Linked DNA regions of Canis lupus familiaris. The protein of the gene in region 1 purifies or fractionates together with the protein of each later gene. This does not show direct contact. Links are inferred from orthologs where the notes say so. Each region holds a gene or a part of one and is shown in the gene's direction. Other genes may lie near its edges. The genes, in order: BBS12, MKKS and BBS7.

Region 1 (5,820 bases):
GCTTTTAGAAGGCTGCTGTTAAAGATTGAAAAATTGGCACAAATAAGTAATGGTTTTTACAATGTTTTAGAATTAGAAGTAATTTCAAAACCTTCAATTCTTTCACATCTATGGTTCCAGACCCATCAACATCGAATAAATCAAAGGCCTCTTTAATTTCTTGCTTTTGGGTTTCATTCAATTCAAGTTTTGCTGCTCTTTTCTTCCATTGGTCTGAACCTATACAATAGTTGGATGCCTGTAATAAATACGCATATGCATGAATAACTGGAAAAGTTACCAGAACCAGAATAATCAATGATAAATAAGCATACTCAAGAACCCTATTCCCTACTACACAATGACCATCAGCAATTTCCTCCTTTCCCCTTTGCTAACATTTGTACTTTTAGTTATTAATATCTTGGTGGAAAGCCTGGTTCTTTTTACCACTCAAGTTTTTCCTTCAACAAACAAGTGCCTTTGAAAGAAAGAAGAGGCAAAGGCACGCATGCTTGAACAGTAGATCTTAAGTTCCAATACGACTGGCCTTACTTGGTATATTTGAAAAGCAGTGCCTAAGGCATCCCTTTTATCTAGGCCTCTATGTCTCATAATAAAATTTGTTTCTTTTGTGGGATATGCTTGACCGAAACATAATATCCTTTCCCATCTTTTAGCATACTTTTCTATATTGCAGAAGCTGAGAAATGGCGGGGAAAAAAACACCTACATTTTCCGGGTGAAAAACTATTCCAGGGATCTGAGTAAGAATAAATGTTGGGCTAATTATCAGTATCCAGGGGTATGGTGGAGGTCATCTTGCTGCTTTGTGCCAATCCCCGCTGACAAGCAAGGTCAAAGAGTTGCTTCTGGGGTGTTGCTGCAGCCTTATTTCGGTATCTGGTCTCCAGCTTCCGGTCAGGCAGCAGTGGCAGCAGGGACGGCAGCTGGACCTCGCGTTCCTGGGCACCTAGCCTCGGGTTTCACGTGGATTAAGGGTTCCTCGTGGCAGCGGTGGATTCTCTGGCCTCGGATTGCAAATACACCGGTGTGATCTCCAACTTAACAGCTCCAGCCTTTAGGACCTTTACCTTCCCAAGAGTGGGAGGGCGGAGCTACCCTGGCCGGTCACTTTCTCCGAGTTCAGGACCTCTTTTCTAGAGGTCTAGACCCTCCAACAGTTTCTTTTTAAAGATGTATTTGCTTAAGGGAGAGCAGCCCCCCTGCGGGGAGCCCCAGGCGGGACTCGATCCTGTGTCTCCAGGATCACACTCTGGGCCAAAGGCGGGGCTAAACCGCTAGAGCCACCCTGGCTGCCCCTTCCAACAGCTTCTAAGCCTCTTATTCTCCGTCCTCAATTCCTTTCCGTTTCCATCACGGAACCTATCGCAGAGCGCGGGTATCAACGGCTGGTGGGGTCGACGAGGGAAGAATGAACTGGAGCCCCGCCCTGGCTTGTCCCCCAGAGCCAGGGGCAACGTGCTTCCCCTGGGCCACGAGAGGAGGCGCCACTAAATGACACTCGAGGATCAGGAGGCCAATAATACATTGCATAAACCAAACAAAATTCCTTCCTTGCTCCGAGGTGACACTTCAACCCCGGCCCCGGCCCAGCAAGGGCTTACCGGCTTGGCACTCACCATGTCACCAAGCGGTGCCCTTTGCCGGGACCTCCCGGTCTCAGCCGCCAGCCGCACCGCCCTGCTGCAGTCTCCCCGGCTCAGCAACCGTTGCTAAGGCCGCTCTCGCCCCGCTCTCCAGAAGCCCCGCCCACCAGATTTGCCTACTGATTGACAGTCATTCCACCCAATGAACAGAAATCAGGGCCCTGAGGCCCGCCCCCTCTCTCTGCTCTCTACCAATAGAGTAGCGCTCTGCTTTTCCGAGCCGACCGCGGGCAGAACTCTCGGTCGGGGTAATCTTAGAGACCTGCCCCACCCCGCCGGCCGCCGGCTCGCTCCGCCTCGCACATGCGCAGAGTGCGGGCCCAGAGGGGGGCGTCCTCCGCCCGGTTCCTCGGCGCCCGGGTGCCCGCGGGAACGCCGCCGCCCGAGGTGGGCAAGCGGGGGTCTGGAGCCTCGCGTGAGGACGGAGAGGAGCGAGGTTCGTCGCGAGGTACTTCCAGAAGTCTTTAGTGCAGGCGCGGAGAGCCCGTTTGCTTTGTTGCCCTCTTCGAGCCCCGGGAGAAAGAATGAGAACCGGGGCCTGGCGGGCCGGGTAAACTGATCCAGTCTTGGCTTAACGACCCTGCTGGGGTTATCGGAGGTGGAGGGGACTGAGCTTCCCCAGGGCCGCTAGATAGTTTTTGGCCTCCGTGCCTGGGGCTTGGCCTGTAGTGTTTCCCTCTTGCCGGGGTCTGAGGGATGCGGCGCGGCAGCCGCAGGGGTGGAGGGGGGCGGGCGGGGGCGGGCGGGGCTGGTGCTGGGCTGCGCCTCGCCTCGCCGCGCGCGCCCTTGCCAGCGCTGCAGCATTTGCTGGCCGGTAGGACTTTGGCTCCAACCGAAATCACGATCAGACACCTCCCCCGACCACCCCCCCCCCCCCCCCGAGGCTCACCCTCGGCCATGCCTGTGGCTGAATGAATGAGGTTCGGGCGGCTTTCCAGGCCTGGTATCCAGCAGAGACGCAGCCTCATAATCCTGCTGGCCAGCCCCTAACTGCTGCAGCTCCAAGCAAACTCTTGTCCACGGGGCTGGACTTGTCGGTTTGTCCAGTCGTGAATCCGGTCAGAGACTAGCTAAAGGGTGGGAGAGAATGAGGTGGACCTCTGACTTCCTGGTAGAAATGAAGAGGAGATAGCTCCTCAAACCTGCAGCCCTGTTCCTTACGCATCAGGGCTCTGCACCAGGGCTCTCGTTATGCCTCCTGCAGTGCCTTCTGCAGAGTAAGTACTTTATTTTCCAGGAATCATACTGGATTCTGCAGCAGTGGATTGATAGGAACATTAATTTTTACCTAGCTGGGTTTTTTCCCCCTCCCCTTTCTCCCACTTAACCTCCTGCAGGTAGGGCAGGTAAAATGTGCAAAGTACATTCTTGAAGCAGTCTCCCAAATCACCGTTCCTATTGTAATATGTAGAAACACGGCACATTCTCCAAAACCATCATCCTGTCTGGTTCACCTTCTATCCCAGTTACCCAGGCTTTGTAATCATAGATAAACAACACGTTAGGATTCTGGAAAACTGATAAGATTATTCTAATATTCTAAAAAAGATTTATTTATTTATTTATTTATTTATTTATTTATTTATTTATTTATTACTATTTATTTATTTATTTATGATAGAGAGAGAGAGAGAGAGAGAGAGGCAGAGACACAGGCAAAGGAAGAAGCAGGCTCCATGCAGGGAGCCGACGCGGGACTCGATCCCGGGACTCCAGGATCGCGCCCTGGGCCAAAGGCAGGCGCTAAACCGCTAAGCCACCCAGGGATCACCTATTCTAATATAGGAAGTGATTTTTTTATGTATAAAGTTGCAGTGGAAATTAAAATTACACAAGTTCAAGATATTTTGTGAGTTAAGTAAAGTGTTTATTCGCTTGATTATAATACAGTAGACCCTTGCTTGAACAACAAGGATTTGAACTGTGTGGGCCTACATATATGTGGATTTGGGGGGGGGGGGGGGATTTGCCACAATTTGAAAAAAACTACCAGTTGAACCTTGTAGAGGTACTACAAGATACTAGAGATATTATTAAGACACTAGAGATACTGAAAAAAAAATAAGAAAAATATTATTGTAAGAATACAGTATATAATACATGTAACATATAAAATATGTAATAATTGACTACTAATAGTATTGGTAAGGTTTCCAAACAATTGTAGACTATTGGTAGTTAGGGTTTGGGGGAGTAAGAGTTATGTTTCGATTTTCACTTGTGCAGTGGTTGGGCCCCCTAGAAAGGTTAACTGTATATTGATTTTTCAGCCATAATCTCACTGGGAAAGTTGCTCTTGATTAGTTTTAAGGACATTTACTTTATCTTTACGACTAATATTAAGGGGACTTCTGAGACCCAGAAATGAATAGTGACCAAATATATAGAATCAAATTCTAACCTAGATCAAGTTTAATCTCATGGCAGTTCAAAGGCTGAGTAATATGTTAACCTGCTTTGATATCACTTTATGATTTAGGGTCTTATACTTAGGAAGCTAACTTCTAGTAACAATGATTTTTTTTGATGATAGGCTCAGATTGCAATTTCTAGTTCTTAGGTAAGAAATACTTAGTCTTGAAAAATAGCCATTACTAATCTAATTGTATTATAAAACATTAGTAATAGTAATGATAATGATTAGTCTAGGAAAATATTAAATCCATTGGCACCCTTAAATCTACTAAATTTACCTACTGCTTTTCACATGACCTATACTGTGTCAACTATTGAGTTTGAAAGGAACTGAGTGTTGAGTATAAAGATGAATAAAAGCAAGGAACCCACAGATTAGTGGGAGAGAAAGGGACAGACATAGATACAGAGTTTTAAATTCAGGATGCTAAATGCTTTAGTACATGTGTGTGTAGAAAGTGACTGAGCCCAGGAAGGAGGCTGGACTTCCTGGGGCATTGGACAAGATTGTATCAAAAATGTGGCATTTGCCTTGGGTGATAAAAGATATATAGCATTTGCCAAGATGAAGAAAGGGTGGGATATTAAATCTGAATATAGCATGTGTAAAAATGAAAATAAATGTTCTAGTGAGGCAAGATCTTAGGATTCATAAAGAAAGGTGGAAAATGAGTCATAAATTATACTGAGGTCCGATTATAGGACACCTATGTCAAACTAAGGAGTAAAGATTTTATTTTCTAAGATAAATAGATGTTTTTAGATAATGGAATGCTTTAATTAGGTTTATGCTTTGCAAAGATAATTCTGACAACCATGTGAAGGAGGAACCATTTTGGAAGCAATTAAAGTTCTCACCTAGGAACGCCTGGGTGGCTCAGTGGTTGAGCATCTGCCTTTGGCTCAGGGCAGCCCGGGTGGCTCAGTGGTTTAGCACTGCCTTCAGCCCAGAGCCTGATCCTGGAGACCTGGGATCGAGTCCCACGTCGGGCTCCCTGCATGGAGCCTGCTTCTCTCTCTGCCTGTGTCTCTGCCTCTCTCTCTCTCTCTCTCTCTCTCTCTGTATCTCTCATGAATAAATAAATCAATCTTAAAAATAAAATAAAATAAAATCTTTAAATAAAGTAAAATAAAGGGTCTCACCTAAGGCAGTGCCAAATAGGAATCACATAACCTCTAAAGGTGATTGAAATTTAAATTTGTGGAGAATAATACTGATAGCGGCATCTGTTTGATCTTGTCATTTTGTACCTAAAGGTAAGATAGCAAATATGGTGAATGCCATTCATTCATTTGCTCACCAAATATTTATTGAGTGTCAGCCGTGTGTCAGACAATATTCTTGGTATGTGGGATACCTCAGTGACTAAAATTGTCCTCCTGGAACTACATTCCAATAAAGGAAAATAATAAATGAATAAATATGTAAACTGTGTACTACTTTATAATGTGGTAAGTGTTATGGAAAAAAGGAAGTCGAGCGGTTAAAGGAATCCAAGTGCAGAGGGAAAAGAAGAGTTTGTGCTGTTAAATAGGGTGCTCAGGGGTAGGCCTCATTGAAAAGGGTAAATTTGAGTAAATATTTAAAGTTGGTGAGGCAATAGATTTCTCAAGGAAGAACATCCCAGAAGGAATAACTAGAACAGAAACTCTAAGTTAGGGAGATGACTTGTAGAATGCTCTAGGGATAGCATAGTAGGAAACAAAGAGGTGTAAGAGGGAGGAATGCAGATGATTAGAGCTTTATTAAGACCTT
Region 2 (5,089 bases), on another chromosome or scaffold:
TGGAGAAGTTTAACAGCTTCACAATCCTAAGGTCTTTAATACTTTACACAAAATTCTTCTACTTGAATATTACAAACCTCTTCCATTATATTCAGAAGGTAATTTTATAGCTAAAATATCTCCTTTTCTCTACTTTTCTACCTCTTCACTACTGTACTTCTGCCTAAATTCGTAATTAGGGGTGGGTAGGTGGGTGGATGTGTGCGCACACTAGCTTTAAATATCCCAGATATTTCCAGCTGAGCTCCTTGAGAATCAGGACTGTCTTTTATTTTTAGTACGGACAACAGGCCTGGTCCACAGTAGGTGTTCTAAAACGTTTGTTTAACTGACTAACGTGATAAGATACAGAATTGTAACAGGCAAGAAATTCACTGTATTTTGTAAATTAAAATCAGACATAAGGTTGATATTCACCTATTAATTACAGCCAAAGAAACCTGACAATGTAGAGTTCATGATTTGAGCCACTTTCAATATCCCTTTAATTGCATTGATATCAGTCATTCCATTCTGATCAATTGCAACACTTATCAGACAAGCCATTGTTAAAGTTTACTATTTTTAGTTTTTAGTTATTAACAAGTCATTAAAAGGTGGTAGTATGTATGTCAGTATTGAATACCTAATATCTGTGTTATTGCCCTATCTTTATAAGGCTGTCCACGATTGTCAAAGTGGAAATTATTAAATAATGGAAATGGTTCTGTGGAACTCATTGTTGATGTTCTGGATTAGACCCATAGTTTTAAATATTTACTGGTTTTTCATGACTTTTCCGGTTGTAAATATTGGGTATTACAGATTATTTAGTTTTTAAATTCGAGCCGGGTGGCTCAGTGGATTAAGTGTCCTACTCTTGATTGTAGCTCAGGTCATGATCTCAGGGTTGTGAGAGTTTTAAAGATTCACTCTCTCTAACAACAACAACAAAAACAACAACAACAACAAAAACAGAGTGCCTTGGTGGTTCAGTTGGTTTAGTGTCTGCATTTGGCTCAGGGCATGATCCCAAAGTCCTGGGATTAAGTCTCTCATTAGGCTCTCTGCTCAGCAAGGAGTCAGCTTCTACCTCTCCCTCCCCGCCTCCTCCCTGCTCATGCACTCTCATTCTCTCTCACTCTCAAATAAATAAAATCTTTTTAAGAATATATACTTCAAAAATATTAAAATGTGAAACATTTTGCCATAGAAATAATAGTTTAGGGACACCTGGGTGGCTCAGTGGTTGAGCGTCTGCCTTCGGCCCAGGGCGTAATCCTGGAGTCCTGGGACCAAGTCCTAGATCAGGCTCCCTGCATGGAGCCTGCTTCTCTCTCTGCCTGTGTCTCTACCTATCTTAGAAAAAAAAAAAAAAAAAATAGTTCAAGGGGGCACTGGGTTACCATACCAGCCAACAATTCTTATTTATCCCATATATAATTAGAACATAGTGTAAATAGCCACAGCTTTAATCCTGGTTCTTGGGAGCAAAGACCTTTGGAGATGAAGGGGGAAAACAACTATACCTGAGCCCATGGCTCAGATAAACTATGTTTTCCACTGTCCCTTGTTTATCTAAGTTAATGTTACCTCCATCCTCCCCCCTTTCAGACAACATTCCTCCTTATTGATACAGATTAAGTAGGGCTATTGTGCATGGGCCCCTGGTGTGTTTGAAGCTTGTCATGGGCATACAGAAGATTGAACCTTTGATTTGTTTTATTTGTGAAGGAGATAATACCATCCCCATTTTACTCCTGTAGGGGGACCCATTCAGAAAAATTAGTGACATGAGTGACTTGCTTCGTGTCCAGTGGGTCATAAGCTGCAGAGCCAGATCCTCTCAATACAGAGATTTTCTGTTGCACCCACCAAATGAGATAATAAATCTTGTAGGTTTTTTTTTTAATCCTTAAATTTTAGATCATCCAAGTATTCCTTAATCTTTGAGGCTTCAGAAGAGAAAAATCTATTCAAAGAAGTCTAGTTGTTCAGTGATTATTTTCTGGGCTCCTGCAAATTTTTTAAGCTCCCAGAAAATATACTCACATTTCTGTGTGCCTTTTTCTAGAGAATACAAAATAGCTCCTAACAGATGTTCAATGAAGTCTATAAACCAAAAGAACCTCTGCTTTATTTGTATATCATTTTAATAGAATACTACTTGTATAACTTATAGGTATTAGAAGCATCTTGTTATTTATATTTCACGTTTTAAAGTATATGCTTGTGGGACTTTTAATATTGGCTAAGAATCAATTTTAAATGATTATTAAGTTCCATCTTTACTCATATATTTTGTGTTTTCTAAACTTTAAAAAATAGGAACACAGCCTATTGGTTCCATAGGCTCAATCTCTCCTAGTAGTTATGGAAGTGTGAAAGATTTGTGCCCTGCAAAATTTGGCTTCAAACATTTTCTTCATCTTATTCCTTATGAAGCAACTATCTGCAGCTTGCTTCTCTGCAACAGAAATGATACTGCCTGGGATGAGCTGAAGGTAGGTCACAGACTGCATTCCATTATCTAGGGGCTGAGGCAGGGATTAAATAGACAATAGTTTTTTTCATATAGGTGAGCTATGTATTTTGTTTTTTGTAACTTTCCCAGGTGATATAGAAAGCAAAAACAACAAAAATGATGGAATTAAAGTCATAAGTAAGCTGATTTACTTACCTGTGATATTACAGTAGACTGGTAGCAAGTGCTACCAGTTACTATTTCTAGTATTTACAAGCAATGTAAAGATCTTTAACATGTGAACTTTTCTTTTTTTTTAACATGTGAACTTTCTTAGTAATTAACTTGAACTCTGTACTTTTTTATGCTAATGTGTATGAATAATTCACTGAGAAAATTAGTTCCCCAGCCATACCCATCATCCACCTCTTAATAGAATTTATTGTCTTCTACCAGCAATAACAAACGCAACTTAGAAGTGATAACTGGGGGATCCCTGGGTGGCTCAGCGGTTTGGTGCCTGCCTTTGGCCCAGGGCGTGGTCCTGGAGTCCCGGCATCGAGTCCCATGTCGGGCTCCCTGCACAGAGCCTGCTTTCCCTCTGCCTGTGTCTGTGCCTCTCTCTCTTTCTCTTTCTCTCTCTGTGTCTCTCATGAATAAATAAAATCATAAAAAAAAAGTGATAACCTGTGGTATTGGTCACAATCTTAAGGATTCATGTATACTCAAGAATATATCTTTGGTAAATATGAAAGGTCTCTGTTTTTATTACTACTGGATTGTAGATATTATTACTTCCACAGCAACTTGAATATTCTATAGCAGGTATACAGCTAACTTATTTAGACTGAAATAATTTTTTTTAGTAGAAATACTAGCAAACCTTGCTGACCCAGTTATTTTGAGGCCATCCATTTGTGAATCTCAGTTTGAAGAACGAAGTATATATGAAAGATGATATTAATCTTGTCCATGGAGACAAACATCTGGCTAAAGTATTTTTCTTTAATTTCTAATCTTTATTATTCCAAAATGTATTAATTACATTACAACCTTGGCAACACAAGTTTTTTCTTTTGCAACTAAAATTCAGCTCTGAGTCTACTACGTAAGTTCCCTTGAAAACATGGTTATATTTCTTTGTGTGTCTGATGCCAATGTCTGATTCTGATAATTCGTCTCTTTTTTAGCTCACATGTCAAACTGCACTGCATGTTTTGCAATTAACCATCAAGGAACCATGTGTTTTGTTGGGAGGCGGCTGTACTGAAACTCATTTGGCAGCATATATCAGACACAAGGTAGGTTAGGTAGTCTGCTCAGATTATCTAAATTCTCAGCAACATTTGTTTTATAGATAATAAACCAAATCACAATACCCTGCAGCCTTTAATGCTTACTTTCTCAGTAGTATAATTCAGATTTTGTATTTGAAAACACTTGAGGAAAATAATACTTGCAAATATAAGGTAGTATCTTTATCACAACGATTATTATCAATCCAGCCTTTCACCAAATGATCACAATCTTTGAGTATTGTGAAATACTGCGTGTTGAAATGAGCATTCTGGTAATGTAAATTATATACAGATTTCAACTGCCGCGGTACGATAATAATTGATAGTCATAATGAAAGTATTAAGATTCTATAAAATACTCAGTACCTTCTGGACTATCAAGAAAAGACTTAGTTTCATTTAATAAAGCATTCTAAGCACTAGATTCTATTATAATTTTTAAATTTGCATCTATTTATGATATAAATTCTATCAAATAGAATGTTTTTTATTCATTTTAAGAAACTCTGTGTCCTGATAATAGATAAACTTAGTGCAGGATAGTTCTGATTATTTCATAAATACTGACCTACTTTATTTGAAAATGGATACAGAAAGGTATGTGTTTTCCAGATATTTGCAGTTGATTCTTTGGTTAGTCAGGAATGTTATCAAGAGACTGCAGGAGGTGGCTGGGTGGCTCAGTCAGTTGACCTTCTGACTCGAACTCAGCTCAAGTCTCAGGGTTGTGAGTTCGAGCCCTGCATTGAACTTTAAAAATAAAAAAAGAAAGCAAGAGAGACTGCATAGCTTCCAGTGGCTGACTAGGATTAGAGAGAGAATACATGCTTTTTACGGATATACCCCACCCTGGTTCCCAAAATGATTTAAAATCTATTTGATGATAAAGTCCATTCATGAAAGGTTACTAGAATATACATTACGAAAAACAAAATTAGTGCCCATGTATTGATGCTGAATATACAATAATATAGCCTGCAAATTGAATTAAGTAAACTAGAAAAAGTTTTTTGGAAGAGGAAAGTTTTTTGAGTAGGATTTTGAAGAAACAACACAGCACTGAAAATATGGGAAAAGAATACACAGTAAAAATGGTCTCATCTGGTTCATACCACCTGGGCAGAAAAAAAAAAAAGCGATTGCTGCTTTGAAATAATTTAGATATGGGTTTTTGTTTTTTGTTTTTTTTTTAAGTTTTTTTTTAAGGTATTTATTTATTTATTTATGATAGTCACAGAGAGAGAGAGAGAGGCAGAGACACAGGCAGAGGGAGAAGCAGGCTCCATGCACCGGGAGCCCGATGTGGGATTCGATCCCGGGTCTCCAGGATCACGCCCCTGGGCCAAAG
Region 3 (5,089 bases), about 770 kb from region 1:
TCAAATATTTTTAGGGTACTTAAAAATACATGTAATATGGAGAAAGTGTGCTTTAGAGGCAGACATTAGGTTTGAATCATGACTCTGTGACTTATCAGCTATTTGATCTATCTGGATTATTTCACTGATTTCAGTTTTCTTTTCTGAGGGATAGAAATAATAGCACTTCAATGAGTGGTGATGATTGATTAAAGAATGTAAATCTTGTGAATCATGCCACAGTGCTAGGTACTATGTGTTTAATATTAAATATCATCAGTTAAAATTAAAGACTAGTGAAAATATCATGATTTCTAAAACATAATTGGAATCAAAATAATATAGGAGTCATCTTCCTAGAAAAAAAAAGAATTAGCATTTGTCTACAGGTAGTTAATATAAACTATTAGGGTGTGTGAAAATAAAAAAAAAGACAGCATTTCATACATGAAAGATGGTATATATATTGATTAGGAAACTTTTGATTATCATAAAAAGGAACCAAATACAGGTAGACCAACATACCAAATAAAAGCTCATATAACTTAAAAGTCCATAGTAATCTGCTTTAGGCACAACTGGGTCACTGGCTTAACTGATGTCATCAAGACCATCCCTTTCCATTGCTCAGCTCTGTTCTTGTCTCTTTTTGGCTTTCCAATTAAGTATCATTGTGGCCACCAGCAGTTCTATCCAGTTTTCTATCTTTTCAGCTAATATCGAGCCTTTCTTTCCCACTGTTTCCAATAAAAGTCCCAGGATTGAGTGTCATTGTAGAGCCATGAACCATTGTGGTCAGGAATGTCACATTTAGTGACAAATTGCTAAATGCTTCCTCCTAAAGTCTCACAAAAAGGGTTGAGGCCAGTGCCAGTGAAACTATAGTTGACTCTTAAACAACACAAGTTTAAACTGTGAGAGACCACCTATATACAGTTTTTTTAATAAATACAGTATGGTACTGTAAATGTATTTTCTTATGATTTTCTTAACATTTTCTTTTTTCTAACTTACTGTAAGAATATAGTATATAATACATATGACATACAAGATACGTGTTGATTGACTGTTTATATTATTGGTAAGGCTTCTGGTCAGCAGTAGGCTATTGCTAGTTAAGTTTTTGGGTAGTCAGAAGTTAAATTTTTTTTTTTTTAATTTTTAATTTATTTATGATAGGCACACAGTGAGAGAGAGAGAGGCAGAGACACAGGCAGAGGGAGAAGCAGGCTCCATGCACCGGGAGCCTGACGTGGGATTCGATCCCGGGTCTCCAGGATCGCGCCCTGGGCCAAAGGCAGGCGCCAAACCGCTGCGCCACCCAGGGATCCCATGGGTAGTCAGAAGTTATATGCAGAGTTTTGACTGCAGGGGTTTGGCAGCCGAACCCCCCACATTGTTCGAGGGTCAACTATATGGATTGAGGAGGGTTAGAGAAAAAAGAAGTGGTTCTGTAAAGAAGATGACGGCTCCTGTGTCTGTAAGAAATGGCAATGGATGATGGGCATGGAAAAACAGAGCTATTATTCTTATGTTTAGTATCAGCTTTCTTTTAAGAATGAAGAATGTAGTCCTGTTGTAATTTGTGTGAGTACGTTGAAGAAAAATATACTTATGTGTAATAAGCAATTCTAAGTGCATTTCATATACATACAGAATTAGCTGTTGGGAATTTTATTAGTCAAAGTAAAGAAAAAAGATGCTTTAATGACTTACATGTATTGACGTATGTTTGGGAGGCATATATCTAACATCTTTTATTTAGTTTCACAATTTTGTTCACATGAAAACACATGAAAACTTTGTATAACAGTAAAAGATTACACATTTTAAGTATGCTTTATATTAATAATGAGATACGTATATAAAGAAATCTAAAATCAAATGAATTCTAAACACCAAGTACTGGTTATAAAGTATTGTATTTACTGGACCTACTTACTATATTTATTTTCTTCTAAAGTTGTTCTTTTAAAAATATATTAATTTTATAGAAAAGGAGAAGGAATTTTTAAATCTGACAACATTTCTACTATATCCATCCTCAAAGATGTGCTGTCTAAAGAAGCTACCAAAAGGAAAATTAACCTCAACATATCATACGGTAAAAAAAAAAAAAAAAAAAAAAAGAAGAAGAAAAATCATTCTTTCTGGGGTATTGGTTTTTCGTTGTTGTTACAATAAGAATGTTTCTGATCAAAGTGACTTAGCTAATCGTGCCTGGCTCACCTTCTTCTAGAGATAAATGAAGTATCCGTCAAACACACTTTAAAGCTAATCCACCCAAAGCTGGAGTACCAGTTGCTTTTGGCTAAGAAAGTGCAATTAATTGATGCTTTAAAAGTAAGTATACATTTACATGGACTCATGATCATTACTTTATGGTGATGGGATTTCTAAAATTATAGACTTTAAAGTTACATGGATTTAACTTTGAACATTAAAGGCCTTTGTTTTTTATTTTAAATAAGGAATTGCAGGTTCACGAGGGAAATACAGACTTTCTGATACCGGAATATCGCTGTATTCTAGAAGAAGCAGATCACCTACAGGAAGAATACAAAAAGCAACCTGCACATCTTGAAAGACTGTACGGTTAGTAGACTATTCTAGAAAATCTTGCTATATTTCTTTTCTGCTGGCTATTTGTGGAGGATCATGTGAGAGAAGCTAGGCAGAAAGGTAAGTGAAGATTATAAAAATCATGAACCAGTGACAACGAATTTATTTCATTGAATATTTTGTCAAATTTTTTTAATTAATATTTTTACTTGACAAAATAAAAGTTAAGTGAAATACATGTAATGCAGTAAATTAATCTGTATATGAAGAAATCTGGTGTGAAATGAATATAGCCTATGAAGTATTAAAATGTAGGCTGTATTTCACACAAATAATTTTTAGGTTATGATGATAATGTGAAATATCAAAATGCAACATTTAATATTTTTTAGACAAAATGTAAGGGATATATATGTGCTGTCAATTTACAGTTGAAAACTTGTTTTGCTTTGATGGTGACAAGTTGGGTGTTTCACAAATTGTCTTGAAAAACATCGAGAGCAAGAGAGAGACATATAGGAAGAGAGAGAAAGGATAGAACAGCTTAAGGAAAACATTTTTTTTGTGATCTTTATATAATATCTATGTGCAGAGCACGTTTCTTTACAATATCTTCATTAATCAGATATTTAATCCTTCCAACAGTTCTGCAAGGTAGATGGTGTTACCGTTATTTTTCACATTTTTTTAAACTGAAACCTGAGACTAAAAAGTTTGTTGTCACATAGGTAGTAGCACAGCCTGCATTATAATTTCCTCATCCCTAAATGCTTGCTTTTTGTACTATACCAAATCTTCTGTAGAGTCAGTTGGTATCATCAATCCACACTGATCTTTGAGCCTGCCTAATGAATTTTATACCCAGGGACTTGCTCACAAACTATAACAATAAAATCTAGTATCTTAATATTGATTATATGGCAAACACATAATCTTTTATCCTTACAATAACTTAGAAGATGGGTGGTACAAAACCATCTCTTATCACAAGTTCCAAAATCTAGAAAGCTTTGAAAACTAAAACTTTTATAAATTATTTGGCAGCAAATTTGACTTGATCTAAATTAATAATTTAATGACAAAACCTCACTTAAACTGACAATTGAGGTTATTTATAGTCATTTTTATTCTACTTAGTATGAATATTTATCGATATATTTTGCCGCAAAAACACTATTGTGTTTTTTTGGTTTTTAAAGATTTATTTATTTATTCATGAAAGAATAAATAAATAACACACAGAGAGAGGCAGGGATATAAGCATAGGGAGAAGCAGGCTCCCCTTAGGGAGCCCAATGTGGAACTCAAACCCGGATCCCAGGATCATGCCCTGAGCCAAAGGCAGAGGCTCAACCGCTGAGCCACTCAGGCGTCCCACTATTATGTTTTGTTCTCAGATGCTGCCGCTCATTTCCCTTGGATATTATGCCATATATGATGTATTCCTTTTATTATCTTTCTAAAATATGAAAAATTCTGAAACACATCTTAGATAAATTCCAAGAATATTCATCATATTAATTGAATAGTTTAATTCAAATAGAACTGTTAAGAACAAGATCTGTTGGGGTACCTGGGTGGCTCAGTTGGTTAAGCATCTGCTTTATCTCAGGTTATAATCCTGAAGTCCTGGGATTGAGCCCCAAGTGGGGCTCCCTGCTCAGTGAGGAGTCTGCTTATCCCTGTCCTTCTGTTCCTCCCCGTTCACCCTGTTCAGGCTCTCTTTTGCTCCCTCTCAAATAAAAATAAAATCTTAAAAAAAAAAAAAAAAAACAGAATCTGTCTACATTTTGTCAAAATGGTCAGCTTGGGAAGAAAAATAAAACCACTTGTGATGTTACATATATACCAATAGCAGTTCACAGCATGTCAGCAGTTAATTTTCTGAATTTAGTAGCTTTTAACTAATAAGAGGATTACTAGCCAAATTATTTGTTTTGAAACTTGCCTTAAAATCCCCCCAAATAAATATTTTTAAAAATATCAATACTTTTAGTTTTGTATATATTTAAAAATGCAGTTAATGAGTGCTTAGAAATAGATTCTCAGGTATCACTTTCATTAAGAACTGTGTTAATTAGAACTAATCAATGACAAGAAATTAACATTTTTCTTTATAGGCATGATCACTGATCTTTTCATAGATAAGTTCAAGTTCAAAGGCACCAATGTAAAAACCAGAGTGCCTCTTTTACTGGAGATTCTGGACAGTTACGACCAAAATGCATTGATTGCTTTCTTTGATGCTGCATGAAATGTACACAAGGTAAAGTTCCAAAGAAGTTGTCTTTTTAAACGAAATATTTTAAAACAGAATTATGGCACAAGCTAACTGTACATACTTGTATTTCAAATGCTTTTTAATATAATCTAAAAACATTTAAGATGTGACTTCCTTTACTAATGCTTCTATTTTGAGAAATGGAACTTTTTAAAAATAAAGAGAATTTTTATTTTGGAGCAAGTGGAATGATTATAAGGAATTTCAATGAACTTTTTGCAAGTGGATGTTTTAACTTTTAAATGAGAAATATTTGGAAAATAAATT

What was found.
Region 2: the proteins of BBS12 (region 1) and MKKS purify together in Homo sapiens (co-immunoprecipitation; 4 studies listed by BioGRID and IntAct, counting the BioPlex papers as one, with this or other methods). This does not show direct contact. The link is inferred for Canis lupus familiaris from reciprocal best matches to the Homo sapiens genes BBS12 and MKKS.
Region 3: the proteins of BBS12 (region 1) and BBS7 purify together in Homo sapiens (co-immunoprecipitation; 3 studies listed by BioGRID and IntAct, counting the BioPlex papers as one, with this or other methods). This does not show direct contact. The link is inferred for Canis lupus familiaris from reciprocal best matches to the Homo sapiens genes BBS12 and BBS7.

The regions. Positions count from the first base shown.
Region 1 is NC_049240.1:18,368,029-18,373,848, reverse strand, and holds the start of BBS12 (Bardet-Biedl syndrome 12 protein), read left to right. Parts: upstream 1-1,933; 5' UTR 1,934-2,085; exon of another isoform or gene 2,086-2,097; intron 2,098-2,113; exon of another isoform or gene 2,114-2,199; intron 2,200-2,532; exon of another isoform or gene 2,533-2,866; intron 2,867-5,820. Other genes in the region: centrin-4, read right to left, coding at 92-238, 1,623-1,625. UniProt on the Homo sapiens protein: Component of the chaperonin-containing T-complex (TRiC), a molecular chaperone complex that assists the folding of proteins upon ATP hydrolysis.
Region 2 is NC_049245.1:12,368,140-12,373,228, forward strand, and holds part of MKKS (McKusick-Kaufman/Bardet-Biedl syndromes putative chaperonin), read left to right. Parts: intron 1-2,307; coding exon 2,308-2,483; intron 2,484-3,633; coding exon 3,634-3,744; intron 3,745-5,089. UniProt on the Homo sapiens protein: Probable molecular chaperone that assists the folding of proteins upon ATP hydrolysis. Plays a role in the assembly of BBSome, a complex involved in ciliogenesis regulating transports vesicles to the cilia.
Region 3 is NC_049240.1:19,137,747-19,142,835, forward strand, and holds part of BBS7 (Bardet-Biedl syndrome 7 protein), read left to right. Parts: intron 1-1,973; coding exon 1,974-2,083; intron 2,084-2,218; coding exon 2,219-2,322; intron 2,323-2,450; coding exon 2,451-2,574; intron 2,575-4,661; coding exon 4,662-4,795; 3' UTR 4,796-4,807; exon of another isoform or gene 4,808-5,001; intron 5,002-5,089.